Linked DNA regions of Anolis sagrei. The protein of the gene in region 2 interacts with the protein of the main gene of each other region in a pairwise test. Links are inferred from orthologs where the notes say so. Each region holds a gene or a part of one and is shown on either strand. Other genes may lie near its edges.

What was found. The genes of interacting proteins can lie anywhere in the genome.
Region 1: the proteins of SPDL1 (region 2) and DNAAF4 interact in binary tests that used the Homo sapiens proteins (3 or more experiments, as listed by UniProt). The two-hybrid records come from large-scale screens. The link is inferred for Anolis sagrei from reciprocal best matches to the Homo sapiens genes SPDL1 and DNAAF4.

Annotation. Positions count from the first base shown.
Region 1 is NC_090029.1:1,583,353-1,590,864, reverse strand, and holds the start of DNAAF4 (dynein axonemal assembly factor 4), read right to left. Parts: upstream 3,021-7,512; 5' UTR 2,915-3,020; coding exon 2,789-2,914; intron 622-2,788; coding exon 474-621; intron 1-473.
Region 2 is NC_090022.1:104,866,049-104,873,458, forward strand, and holds the start of SPDL1 (protein Spindly), read right to left. Parts: upstream 3,001-7,410; 5' UTR 2,876-3,000; intron 1-2,875. UniProt on the Homo sapiens protein: Required for the localization of dynein and dynactin to the mitotic kintochore.

The sequences.
Region 1 (7,512 bases), on a different chromosome or scaffold from region 2:
GTACGCCAGCTGCGACCATACCTCGTGAAGTCTGACTTGACCAGGGTGGTCCACGCCTTGGTTACATCCAAACTGGACTACTGCAATGCACTCTACGTGGGGCTGCCCTTGAAGATGGCCTGGAAGTTTGAACTGCTGCAACAGGGGGCAGCTGAACTATAGGGATCATACAACACCCCTATTAAAACAGCTTTATTGGCTGCCGATAAGTTGCTGAGCCAAATTCAAGGTGCAGGTCATGACCTATAAAGCCCGAAAAGGTTCGAGCCCCGCCTATCTCCGCAATCGCATCTCCTTCTATGAACTGGCACGAGCTGTAAGATCTTCCGGGGAGGCCCTCCTCTCGGTCCCATTACCGTCTCAAGTGCGGTTGGTGGGGACGAGAGAGAGGGCCTTCTCAGTGGTGGCCCCCTATCTCTGGAACGCCCTTTAGGGCCAAATGCATAAATGAAATGAAAGGCTCAGGATCTCACCTCCCTCCATGAAAAGGGACTCCCAAAGGCAGGGCTCCTGTTTGTAGAGAGTGAAGGAGACGCAGCCCTCCTCCACCCTGGCGGTGCTTCGCACATCATCGATGGGAGCCCAGAGAAGGACCTCGAAGAGGAACGGAGGGGAGCTCACCTGGGGAGACATCCATCATCATCATCCTCATCATTATATTATACTATTTATTGACTTTATTTCTATCCCACCTTCCTCCCCATAGAGGCAGAGGAGAGCTCACCTAGAGCCATTTTTATAGAAAATACAGAGTTGTGAGTTTCAAATCTCCCGCTTCCCGCCTGGCTCGAAGATGATTGGCTGGTGCGCAAACAGCTGGGAGGAAGCTTGGCCGTCCCCCGCGCGTCTGGACCTATCACAGTGCTTCTGCAGTGCGCCAGAGCCAATCAGAAGGCTCCTGCCGCCTCTGCGCTCCAGCGAATCTGAATTAATTAATTAATTTTACTTATTATTGTTAATTATTATTTACTATTTTTATTATTTGTTATTATAGTTATGATTTATGATTTACTATTTATTATTACTTGTTATTCATTATTATTGATAATAACAGTAATTTGCTATTATTTTTGTTATTTATTATTATTTACTATTATTTATATTTATTATTTATCATTTCTTATTCAGATTTAAGATTTATTATTATTAATTATTATTTAGTATTTTTATTATTTGTTATTATAGTTATGATTTACTATTTATTATTATTTGTTATTCATTATTATTGATAATAACAGTAATTTACTATTATTATTTATTTACTATTATTTATACTTACTAGTTCCAGTTATTATTAAGATTTAAGATTTATTATTATTAATTATTTAGCATTTTTATTATTTGTTGTTATAGTTATGGTTATGATTTACTATTAATTATTATTTGTTATTCATTATTATTTATAATAACAGTAATTTACTATTATTTTTATTTATTATTTACTATTATTTATATTTATTATTTATCATTTATTAAGATTTATTATTATTATTTACTATTTTTTATTATTTGTTATTATAGTTATGATTTACTATTTACTATTTTTTATTATTTGTTATTCATTATTATTTATAATAACAGTAATTTACTATTATTATTATTTATTTACTATTATTTATATTTATCATTTATCATTTATTATTAAGATTTAAGATTTATCATTATTAATTATGATTTACTATTTTTATTATTTGTTATTACAGTTATTATTTACTATTAATTATTATTTGTTATTCATTATTATTTATAATAACAGTAATTTACTATTATTATTACTTATTATTATGGAGCCTCCAGTGGCGCAGTGGGTTAAACCCCTGTGCCGGCAGGACTGAAGACTGACAGGTCGCAGATTCGAATCCCGGGAGAGGCAGATGAGCTCCCTCTATCAGCTCCAGCTCCTCATGCAGGGACATCAGAGAAGCCTCCCACAAGGATGATAAAAATATCAAATCATCCGGGCAATGTCCCCTGGGCAACGTCCTTGCAGACGGCCAATTCTCTCACACCAGAAGCGACTTGCAGTTTCTCAAGTCGCTCCTGACACGACCAAACTTATTATTTACTATTATTTACTATTATTTATTAATAATAAATAATAATAGTAAATTACTGTTATTATAAATAATAATTAATAACAAATAATAATAGTAAATAGCAAATAACAAATAATAAAATACTTAATAATTAATAATAATAAATCTTAAATCTTAATAATATAAATAATAGTAAAGAATAATAAATAATAATAGTAAATTACTGTTATTATAAATAATAATGAATAACAAATAATAGTAAATAGTAAATCATAACTATAATAACACATAATAAATATTATTTATATTTATTATTAATCATTTATTATTAAGATTTAAGATTTATTTTTATTAATTATGATTTAGTATTTTTATTATTTGTTATTATAGTTATTCATTCTTATTTATATTTATAAAAATAGTAAATAATAATTAATAAAAATAATTATAAACAAATATAAATAAGAATGAATAACTATAATAACAAATAATAAAAATACTAAATCATAATTAATAAAAATAAATCTTAAATCTTAATAATAAACGATTAATAATAAATATTTATTATGTGTTGTTATAGTTATGATTTACATTTTACTATTATTTGTTATTCATTCTTATTTATAACATCAGTAATTTACTATTATTACTATTTACTATTATTTATATATTTATTATTAAGATTTAAGATTCATTTGTATTTTTAATGATTATTTATGTACAATTCTGTATTTCCTGGCCTTGTCCCTGACCTTCAGGCACTGTCCGGAGCAGAAGACGTCGGAGCCTCGGAGGCGGCCTTCCTTCCGCACCTGGACCCTCAAATACACCGCTTCCTCCGTCTGCTCCCAGCTGTAATCGCGCACCCAAACCGGCATGGCTTCTCAATCGAGGAAGGCCTTCTAAACGGCCACGTTGCTAAGGGCCCAGCGGTTGCTCGGCAACGGTTTCTAGGAGGCGGCGCGCGCTTGCCACGCCGGGTTAGAGGCCTCCCTGCCGCGTGGCAGGCTGGGAGTCGTAGTCTTTCTGCAGAGTTTGGTGCTTCTGAATACAAGCGCCAAGGATCCCCAAAAAGACTACGACTCCCAGCCTGCCACTCGGCAGGGAGGCCTCTAACCCTGCCCGTTGCAGTTGCTTCTGCTTCTTCTCAACCAGATGCCTTCAGAAGAGACTTTATCATATTATTTCTAGCCGTCCCCTGCCACGTGTTGCTATGGCCCACATGGGGGTTCTGTGTGGGAGGTTTGGCCCAATTCTATCATTGGTGGGCTTCAGAATGCTCTGTGGTTGTAGGTGAACTATAAATCCCAGCAACTACAACTCCCAAATGTCAAGATTCTGTTTTCCCCAAACTCCACCAGTGTTCACATTTGGGCATATTGAGTATTCGTGTGGAGTTTGGTCCAGATCCATCATTGTTTGTGTCCAGATCCATCACTGGATCTGCTCTCTGGATGTAGGTGAACTACAACTCCCAAACTCAAGGTCAATGTTCACCAAACCCTTCCAGTATTTTCTGTTGGTCATGAGAGAACTGTGTGCCAAGTTTGGATTCATCGTTGAGCCTGGATCCCCAGGTGTCAGCGGTGACCAGGGGAGCATTTGCACAGCTTAGGCTCGTGCGCCAGCTGCGCCCGTACCTCGGGAAGTCTGACTTGGCCACGGTGGTACACGCTCTGGTCACATTCCGCCTTGACTACTGCAACGCTCTCTACATGGGGCTGCCCTTGAAGACGGCCCGGAAGCTCCAGCTAGTCCAGCGCGCGGCAGCCATGTTACTAACAGGAGCGGGACACAGGGAGCACACAACGCCCTTGTTATTCCAGCTCCATTGGCTGCCGATCTGCTACCGGGCCCAATTCAAGGTGCTGGTGTTGGCCTACAAAGCCCTAAACGGTTCCGGCCCAAAATACCTGTCTGACCGCATCTCGGCCTATGAGCCCACAAGGACTTTGAGATCGTCCGGGGAGGCCCTTCTCTCGATCCCGCCTGCCTCACAGGCACGCCTGGCGGGGACGAGGGACAGGGCCTTCTCGGTGGTGGCCCCCCGGCTGTGGAACGCCCTCCCTGTAGACATCAGACGGGCGCCCTCCCTTATGACATTCCGCAAGAGACTAAAGACGTGGTTGTTTGAGAAGGCGTTTGAGTAAGTGCTGCAATAACTGGCAATGACGATTGGAATGGAACATGGATAACGAGATTTGGATTGTGATTCAACAATGAGACGTCGCGAATGATTTAGTGTAATTGTAGTATTGATAGTGATGTTGTTTAATGTTGTTGTGATATTGCTTGTGTTGTAAATTGTACCTGTTTTTACATGTTGTACACCGCCGTGAGTCACCCTAGGGCTGAGAACGGTGGTCTACAAGTGCAGTAAATAAATAAATAAAAATAAATAAATTTGGTTCAGTTCCATCATCGCTGGAAATCAGAATGCTCTGTGATTGTAGGTGAACTATAAATGCCAGCAACTGCAACTCCCAAATGTCAAGATTCTATTTTCCCCAAACTCCAATTGTGTTCATACTGGAAGATTTGTTGCCAAGTTTGGTCCAGATCCATCACTGTTTGAGTGCACAGTGATCTCTGGACGCAGGTGAACTACAAATCCAAAACCAAAGGACACTGCCCACCAAACCCTTCCACTATTTTCTGTTGGTCATGGGAGAACTGTGTGCCAAGTTTGGTTCAGTTCCATCATTGGTGGGGTTCAGAATGCTCTTTGATTGTAGATGAACTATAAATCCCAGTAACTACGACTCCCAAATGTCAAGGTCTATTTTCCCCAAACTCCATCTGTGTTCATATTTGGGCATATGGAATATTTGTGGCAAGTTTGGTCCAGATCCATTATTGTTTGAGTCCACAGTGCTCTCTGCATGTAGGTGAACTATAACTCCCAAACACAAGGTCAATGCCCACCAAATGCTGCTAGTATTTTCTGTTGGGTCACGGGAGTCCTGTGTGCCAAGTTTAGTTCAATTCCATCGTTGATGGAGTTCAGAATGCTCTTTGATTGTAGGTGAACTATAAATCCCAGCAACGACAACTCCCAAATGACAAAATCATAATTTTTGAGTGATGGTCACTCCTTGTGTTGTGAGACGTTCTGTTACCAAATTTGGTGTGATTTTGTTCATCGGTTCTTTGGTTTTTAAGGTACTCATTATGCACAGAGCATTTTATAGATAGATAGATAGACTAGCTTTACCCGCCATGCGTTGCTGTGGCCAGGCTTCTCTCCCTCTTTCTCTGCCTCTTTCACTCCTTCCTGTTCTTCTTTCCTTTCTTCCTTCTCTACCTGTTTACTTCCTTCCTTAGCTGTTTGCTTTCATCCTTCCTTCTCCTTCTTTCTCTTTTTCCTTTGCTGCGTCTTTCCTCCCTTCCCTTTTTTTCTTTCCTTCTCTCCTCCTTCCTTCTGTACCTCTTTCCTTCCTCCTCCCTTTTTCTTTTCCTTCCTCTGTCTCCTTTCCTCCCTCTTTCTTTTTCCTTCCTTCCTTCGTTCTGTAGTTCCATACTTCCTTTTCTTTCCTTCCTTCCCTCCCTTTCTCTTCTTCATTTGCTTTCTTTCCTCCCTTCCCTTTTCTTCTGTCCTTTTTTCCTTCCTTCCTTTCGTTCCTACACCTTCCCTTCCACACCTTTCTTCTTCCTTCCTTCCTTCCTCCCTCCTTTCCCATGCTCCTACTCTCTCTTCCTTCTTTCTTTCCTACCTTTCTTCCCTCATATACTTTCTCAACTTCTCCTTCCTTCCTTTTTTTCATACACCTTCCCTTCCCCTTCCCTCCTTTTGTTTATTTCCTACCTTTCTTCTCTGATATCCCTGTCTTCCTTCCTTCCTTCCTTCCTACCTACACCTTCCCTTCCCCTTCCCACTTTTCTTCTTTCTTTCCTTCTTTTCTTCTTTCCTTCCTTCCTACACCTTCCCTTCCCCTTCCCTCCGTTTGTTTATTTCCTACCTTTCTTCTCTGATATCCCTTCCTTCCTTCCTACACCTTCCCTTCCCACTTTTCTTCTTTCTTTCCTTCTTTTCTTCCTTCCTTCCTTCCTACACCTTCCCTTCCCCTTCCCACTTTTCTTCTTTTTTCTTTCCTCCCTTCCTCCCTTCCTTCCTATTTACACCCCTTCCCCTCATTTCCGTCCATCCTTCCCTCACCCGCTTCCTTCCCTCCTTCCTGTTCCTCATCGTGCCCGATGGCGGCGTCCTTCCTTCCTTCCCTGGAGCCAGACGCCGGTGTCCGGTGGCGGCCTGGGCCGGGTGTGGCGGAGGCCGAAGGGCTGTCCTTGGGAGAGGCGGGTCGCGGCCTCTCCCAGGAGGGCCACGAAGGTGCGCAGCGGGGGCCTCCCGGTCAGCCTCCACTGGTCCCGCCTCGGGAAGGCCACCAGCTGTCCGGGCCCGTGGAAGGTGGACAGCCCCCCGTGCCGCACGTGCACCAGGCCGGCCCCCAGCGTGCACAGGCGGGCGAGCTCCCACTCCCAGGCTGGGGCTTCAGCGTCGGTGCCTAGGCCGCGCTCGGTTTGGCATGGGGGAAGGGGCAGGGCAGTGATGGGAGGAAGCATGGCTTGCACGGAGGGGGCGTGGTGCGGCCATGTGCGCGCACCGGGCGACTCGCGCCGGGACTCCTCTGCGCATGCTCCGTTTGGTTGTGTAATTGTGAGTTTGTTGTGTGGCAGTCATTAGGGAGAAAATAATTATAATTTAAATGAATTTAAGAAACAGAAGGTCCTACCTTAATTCTGGCGATTAAAAAGAGATTTTTAGAGTAAGGGAAAATCAGCAGACGGTATGAATCAATAAGAGGTCGGGGTGGCTTGTTCCATAAACAAATATTTGAGGAAGCCGAAGGTTGACTTTAGGCTAAACATAGAAGGCCAGATCGATATTATTGATCCAAGACTGGAACATCTAAGGTCATATAGTAAGAGAGCGCCATCTCCTGTCTATTTGATGTAAATAGCAGGTAATTTCAGACACATTCTATAAAATGACCAATTCCAGGAAAAACAAGATATTATGAAAATAATTACCGAAGAATTAATAAGGAAATTACTTTGAATAAGTTTTATGTTAAAAACATATATATATATATATGAAGTTATGATTCATTTTAAGATCTAAGAAAATTAGGAACATGTCATCTGGGGATAAGGCTAAAGGTTGATGGAAAGAAAAATATTTGGGGTCGTGATGATTTGCCAAAAGTGTTCTTATATAAGAATTCTGTTAATGATTATGTATTGTGTACGTGGCAGAGTTGGTATACGCATGTGCAAACTGGTAATTCTATCTATAAATACTGGGCTAACTTGGACAGAGCTTTGTGCTTCATCAGCCATTTTGGGGAAACTGAGCACCCTTACCCGGGTAAGAATAAATACTGGAAACTTGCTAAGCTGTCTCTGTCTTCTTCCTTCTCCACGGATCTCATGGAATCCTGGTAAATGGTTGCCCTACTGCAACAGTTGTTATGTTTTT
Region 2 (7,410 bases):
AGAGAAAGAACTCTTGTCTGTTAGAGCTAGTGGGCTCATGTATTCAGTGTTGGGTGTGCTGAATATTTTTTCAGAGCACAATAAGAGGTTCTGGAGAGCAACATGTCAAAATGTCAGAGCTGGCCTTGAGAGTGGCAGAATTTATGGATTGAATTAACATTCCACATTGAACACTTGCTAAAATGACCGTCCAGTGTGCTATACATTGCAGGAAATTAAAGCTTTTTCTTCAATGATGAAAGCTGATCTTGCCTTCTGTAAACCATTTGGCAAGCTAATCTTTTGGGAAGGGCATCCTCCCAAATCTTTGGTCCAAAAGCAAGGTGTTGGCTGCTGGAGCTGATGAACAACTGCACTGCATTTTGTCAGATCCCCAAAATCTGGAGGAAAGCAAGAATCATCGCCATCTTGAAGCCAGGCAAAGACTGTAATGACCCAAAAAGCTACAGACCAATCTCCCTGTTGTGCCACTTCTACAGAGTTCTGGAGAGACTTATTTTGCATAGAATTAAGGAAAAAATAGACCCATGTCTGATCTCACAGCAAGCTGGCTTCAGAAAAGGCAAAAGCTGCACATCGCAAGTGTTGAACCTGACTCAGCACATAGAAGATGGCTTTGAAAGGCAGCAGATCACAGGAGCTGTCTTCATAGACCTGTCAGAACCCTATGATACTGTAAACCACCGCCTCCTCCTGAGAAAAATGCTACAAAACAGGAGCTTTTTTGTTGAGTTCCAGGGCCAGAGAAGCAGATGACGGAAACAGAAGAACGGCCTGCCTCAGGGGAGCGTGCTTGCTCCATCCATGTTCAACATCTACACAAATGACCAGCCACTGCCAGAAGGGACAGAGAGTTTCATCTATGCTGATGATCATGCCATTACTGCTCAAGCAGGGAGCTTTGAGATGGTAGAACAGAAGCTTTCCGAAGCTCTAAGTGCTCTTACTGCCTATTACAGGGAAAACCAGCTGATCCCCAACCCATCTAAAACACAGACATGTGCCTTTCATCTCAAAAACAGAGAAGCATCCTGAGCTCTGAAGATCACCTGGGAAGGAATCCCACTGGAGCATTGCAGCACATCCAGATACCTGGGAGTCACTCTGGACCGTGCTCTTACCAGCAAGAAGCACTGCCTGAACATCAAGCAAAAAGTGGGTGCTAGAAACAATATCATACGAAAGCTGACTGGCACAACCTGGGGATCACAACCAGATACAGTGAAGACATCTGCCCTTGCGCTGTGCTACTCCGCTGCTGAGTATGCATGCCCAGTGTGGAACACATCTCACCACACTAAAACAGTGGATGTGGCTCTTAATGAGACATGCCGCATTATCACGGGGTGTCTGCGCCCTACACCACTGGAGAAATTACACTGCTTAGCCGGTATTGCACCACCTGACATCCACCGGGAAATAGCAGCCAATAGTGAAAGGACCAAGGCAGAGACATCTCCAGCTCATCCCCTGTTTGGGTATCAGCCAGCACGTCAACAACTTAAATCTAGAAATAGTTTTCTAAGATCTACAGAGACACTCGCTGGAACACTTCAGCGAGCGAGAGTCCAAAAGTGGCAGGCTCAAACCCAGAACCTCAAGCAATGGCTGATACCAAATGAGAGACTCCCCCCTGGGCACACAGAGGACTGGGCGACTTGGAAGGTGCTGAACAGACTGCGCTCTGGCACCACAAGATGCAGAGCCAATCTTAAGAAATGGGGCTACAAAGTGGAATCCTCGACATGCGAGTGCGGAGAAGAGCAAACCACTGACCACCTGCTGCAATGCAACCTGAGCCCTGCCACATGCGCAATGGAGGACCTTCTTTCAGCAACACCAGAAGCACTCCAAGTGGCCAGATACTGGTCAAAGGACGTTTAATCAACTGCCAAACTTCACAAATTTTGTATTTTGTCTGTTTGTTTGCTTTGTTCTGTTAGAAATGTAATATAATTGACTGATTGCCCTGACACGACAAATAAATAAATAAACATTGTTCTAGTGGGCATGAACCATTGGATATCTGCAGCACTCATGAACGCACTTGTCCCTGGTTCTGTAAAGAGTTGGTGCCAAGTTAATATCTCTGGGGAACTTCTTCTAATAGTTGGGTGTCACAACCTAGAAGACCCTGTTTACAATACTCGAGATAGAAGAGGAATCTGCACAAGGAATTCCTCACTTTTCTAGAAAACACCTTCCCAAGATGGTTGGTAAGCTTTGTGAATACAAAGGAATGTTCCTAGGGAGAAAAGTATCTGAGATAATAAGAGACGAGACACTTTTCTCTGCCTGTATCTGCCATCATCATCTCCATGGCAATTGTTTTCCCCCGTCACTGCTATTAATCCTGCAGAGACTCCATGGCAAAAATGTATTGGGTGAGCAGCATACTGGTACAGGAAATGTTCAGAAATCCAATAACCATGGGTGTTTTTCATAAGGATGCACATAGTTTTAAGCTTATTCAAATAAACGATGAGGTTTGTCATTGAGCCAAGGGGACAGAGGTATAAGTAGCAGAGGCCTTAAAGCACTCCGTTTTTATTCGTAGTCTCCCATTTACGGAACAGAAGAGTAAATAGGAACTAATAACAAGAATAATACTAATAATTGTGTTAAACAATAATGATAACTTTCAAAAGCCTTTTCCCAGAGCACGCCAATGTAAATTCGCGGGAGGGGGAGATATCCTCAGCAAGAAGATGCTCACTGCTTAAGTTGATGTGTATTTGGAAGCCACTAGGAAACTAAAAAGGGGGGGGGGACATACTTATTATATTGACAAGTACCCAGAAATATATAGGATGAGTGGCGATACATGACTAGAGGGGAAGGGAAGAGAGGAGGCCCTCACCACCGCGCCACTCACCAACTTCTCTCTCCTCTCCCTTCCGCTGTTTTTAAATTTCGCCCTCAATCCCGCGCGAGACTTCCCAATCGTCGCGAGACTTCAAACTCCCCGGCACAATGAAGGCACGGCTTAAGCTTCAGGCAGCTTCTTATGCGCATGCGTGGATTGTGGCAGAGGCAGGGATATGAGGAAAAGGGACTTCGTAATTGGTAAAGCGAGTGAGCATGCTCTAAAAGAAAATTGACGCACATGACAGCGGTTTCCCGTCAAAGGGCACTGAGCATGCGCTGTAGCAGCCTTGGGCGTGGACGGTCAGTATGGCAAAGGGGTAATATGTGATCTGAAGTAACGAAGTGCAAGCTGAAGGCGGATGGCGCGTAACCAAAGTTCAGATAGAGGGTGCGTCTACCAATGAGTGCGAATACCTCACCAAACTACAATTCCCAGAATTCCATTGCCCTGAGCCAATTAGTTAAAGTGTTATCAAACTGCATTAATTCTACAGCGTAGAATGCACACATTGTAAGAATCCAAGCAAATGCAGTTAGAGAGCAAAACTAGAGTAACTGGGGCCTCGGAGAAAGTTCAGTTTTGTCGAAGGCTTTCATGGCCGGAATCACTGGGTTGTTGTGAGTTTTCCGGGCTGTATGGCCATGTTCCAGAAGCATTCTCTCCTGCCCTTTCGCCTACATCTATGGCAGGCGACCTCTGAGGATACCAGTCATAGATGCAGGCGAAACGTCAGGAGAACATGGCCATGCAGGCCAGAAAACGCACAAGTGCCTGCCATAGATGCAGGCGAAATGTCAGGAGAGAATGCTTCTGGCACATAGCATACAGCCTGGAAAACTCACAACAGCCCCCCAAAAAGAATGGAAGCCATTTTATCTCAATAATGACATGAATAATTATTTTTATTTACATACAAATTAAAGTAATTAATTAGAAGTAGGGTAGAAATTAAATGAACTTTGTCGGTAGTTTGGCTTCTGTTTAGCTTTGTGCAATAAATTATGACAGATGTGAAATTATCATTAATTATTGTTAAAGTTATGTAATGGATTGCATTAATTGAGAGGCGTTTAGTAATCTAGGGGACCATCTTCAAGTCATTAGGCAATTTTGTTTTGCAATTTTTGAGTTTCAAAAAGTCGTGGAAAAAAGTGGGAGGCAGTGCAGCACACCACAAAACTTCATTTATAATGTTAAAAATAGCAATAAGGATAATGCCTTGGTTGGAAAAAAAATGTGTGTTCTCTTTGATGGATCACCATATAGAGTGGAACCATTCACAGAATCCTAGAATCCTAGAGTTGGAAGAGACCTCTTGGGCCATCCAGTCCAACCCCCTGCCAAGAAGCAGGAATATTGCATTCAAAGCACCCCCGAGAGATGGCCATCCAGCCTCTGTTTAAAAGCCTCCAAATAAGGAGCCTCCTCCTTTTAAGAATGTTGCTTTTCTCTGTTTTGACTAGACTTGATTGAGAAGAGAAAGAGATTAGGTACTTGGGGCCGGTACTCCCATCAGTTTTAAAGGTTATGTTTCCCAAACTCCATTCCTGCTTATTATTAAAAATGGCTGTGCTTTACAGACAGGAGATAACAGGATAAGCATATAATTCCTTGCCTCTTACTCAAAAGAGTAATCACTTGATGGGGATCAGTTGACAAGACGCTTTTTATAAGTCCCTGCATGTCATTTTTATCTGTGCAGTTCTATCTAGTGTCATATATTACAGTCAGCCCTCCACATTTGCAGGTTTAATTATTTGCAGATTTGATAAATGTGTCCTCCCTACGAATCTCTAGAGGTGCAACTACACCAGGCCTGGGCAAACTTTGCCCCTCCAGGTGTTTTGGACTTTGACTCCCACAATTCCTAACAGCCTACCGGAGTTGAAGTCCAAAACACCTGGAGGGGCAAAGTTTGCCCAGTCCTGAAATACATTGTGGAATTAATACAGTTTGACCCCACTTTAATTGGTATGGTTCAGTGCTATAGACCTAAGCCCTCTAAGTGTTTTGAACTTCAATTCCTAACAGCCTACCGGAGTTGAAGTCCAAAACACCTGGAGGGCCAAAGTTTGCCCAGGCCTGAACTACACTGTAAAACTAATGCAGTTTGAACCCACCTTAATTGCTATGGTTCAGTGCTATAGAATCATGGGATTTGTTGTTTGGTGAGGCAGCACAATCTTTGGCAGGGAAGGCTAACAAACTTGTGAAACTACAACTCCCACAATTCCATAGCACATTTTCAAAAGTGTTTTAAATATATGTTTTACCCATTTTCATGGGGGTCTTGCACTCTTAACTCTAGTCTGTGCAAAGGGATGTCAGTATTTCCTATTCTACGTGCTTTCCAGAAATTTTGACATGAAGCACATACCACACACATAAACATAATTATATACTTTATCCCTTGCTCTTAATTATTATTCCCCCTTTTCTTCTTTTAACAGGCGGGTTATATGGATACTTTCTGGGTGAAATACATTAAGCTGATCTTTTTTTAAAAAAAACTTTATTTAAACATCTGGAGACTCCAACTCTTCTATCTACATTGGATTCACTGGACGTAACCTCTTATTTCTGCTTCTAGTGTGTATGGAGGATCTAGCGATTGACCTATTTTCTTACTCAAAATTAAAAATTTTAGGGGAGCCAAATAATCACACAATGTATAGGCACATAAAAATATAACTAATATGTTTGTCAAGGCCCCTTCTACACTGCCAAATAATCCAGATTATCAAAGCAGATCATCCAAATTATCTGTTTTGAACTGGATTATTTGAGCCTTCACTGCCATATAATTCAGTTTAAAGCAGATAATTTGGATGTTATATGGCAGTGCAGAAGGGACTAGAGGCTAGTGGACTTCCCTTCTTTGAAGGGGTTCAGACGGGGTGTGGATGGCCATTTCTTAGGGCCCTTCCAGTCAGGCCCTATATCCCAGGATCCGATCCCAGGTTTTCTGCTTTAACCTGAATTATATGATCCCCTACTGCCAGATAATCTGGGATAAACAGAAAACCTGGGTTCAGATCCTGAGATATAGGGCCTGACTGGAAGGGCCTTTGGGCGTGCTTTACTTATTTACCTAGATGGCCCTGCTATACAGGAATATTTGATTGTTTCATCTGTACAGAGAAAGAGTCCTACAGTTGCTTCTTCCCACCAAGAAGCCATTCTAAGAGAGCTTCTTAATCTCTGGTCCCTTCTACACTGCCATATAATCCTGATTATCAAATGAAGTAATTCATATTATCTGCTTTGAACTGAATTATATGAGTCTACATTACCATATAATCCAGTTCAAATCTGGATTTTATATGGCAGTGTAGAAGGAGCCTCAGAAACCCATTTAGGAGCAAGGGAACTGCAAAATTGTGGCCACCATAATACCCCCCCCCCCCCACATCAACCTTGTGAACAGCAGATTTTGGGGATCTTTGTGTCTTATTGAGGTTTTAAATGTCAAAAAAGTTTCTGCACAAGTCCCCCACTGGCACTTTGTCTTTCATGGTGATCACTGGCCAACAAATCCTGTTATCCAGATTACATCTAAAAAATAAAACATGAAACTATACATAGTTCTACATCTATATAAAATTTCAGTTAGTGGAAGCATAATTAGAAGTTAGCCGCTGTTAGTAGCTATAATATCCTATACAATGCTCAGAAATGTTGAGTAATGTCGAAGGCTTTCATAGCTGAAATCACTGGGTGGTTGTAGGGGTTTTTTTGGCCTATATGGCCATGTTCTAGAGGCATTCTCTCCTGACGTTTCAACTGCATCTATGGCAAGCATCCTCACAACCTCTGAGGATGCTTGCCATAGATGCAGGCGAAACATCAGGAGAGGATGCCTCTAGAACATGGCCATATAGCCCAAAAAACCCTACAACCACCCAATTTTGAGTAAAGTTCAGCAGACTCCTCTACAGCAATTAGTAATTTCTATTTTGTGCCAAAAACATTAGACCCCAGTGATCTGGAACTTTGGCTCTGTTTCTTGAGCTCCACTATTACGTACTTGTGATTTGCTATCTCTAGAAAACTAAACTAGAGATTGTGGCGCAGCTGGCTGAGTGTCAGCTGCATTAAGATCATTCTGACCAAAAGGTCATCAGTTCGAAGCCAGCCCGGGTTGGAGTGGGTTTCCAACCATTGTGTAGCCCATTGTCGACCTTTACAACCCGAAAGACAGTTGCATCTGTCAAGTAGGAAAATAAGGTACCACCTTAAAAATGTGGGGAGGCTAAAATTAGCTAATTTATGAGGCTATAAAGAAGCACTCCAGCGGGGAAGCATGCGAGGAATACGGAGGTACTTCATCAGCGTCGCAGATGGGCGATGAAAGTGACAGCTCCTCTGGCGGCCAGAAAAAGTTAAATAGCCTCTGTGTATGTCTGTATATGTTTGTATGTCAAAATTGGCATTGAATGTTTGCCATATATGTGTACACTGTAATCCGCCCTGAGTCCCCTGCGGGGTGAGAAGGGCGGAATATAAAAGCTGTAAATAAATAAATAATAAACTAAAAGTTT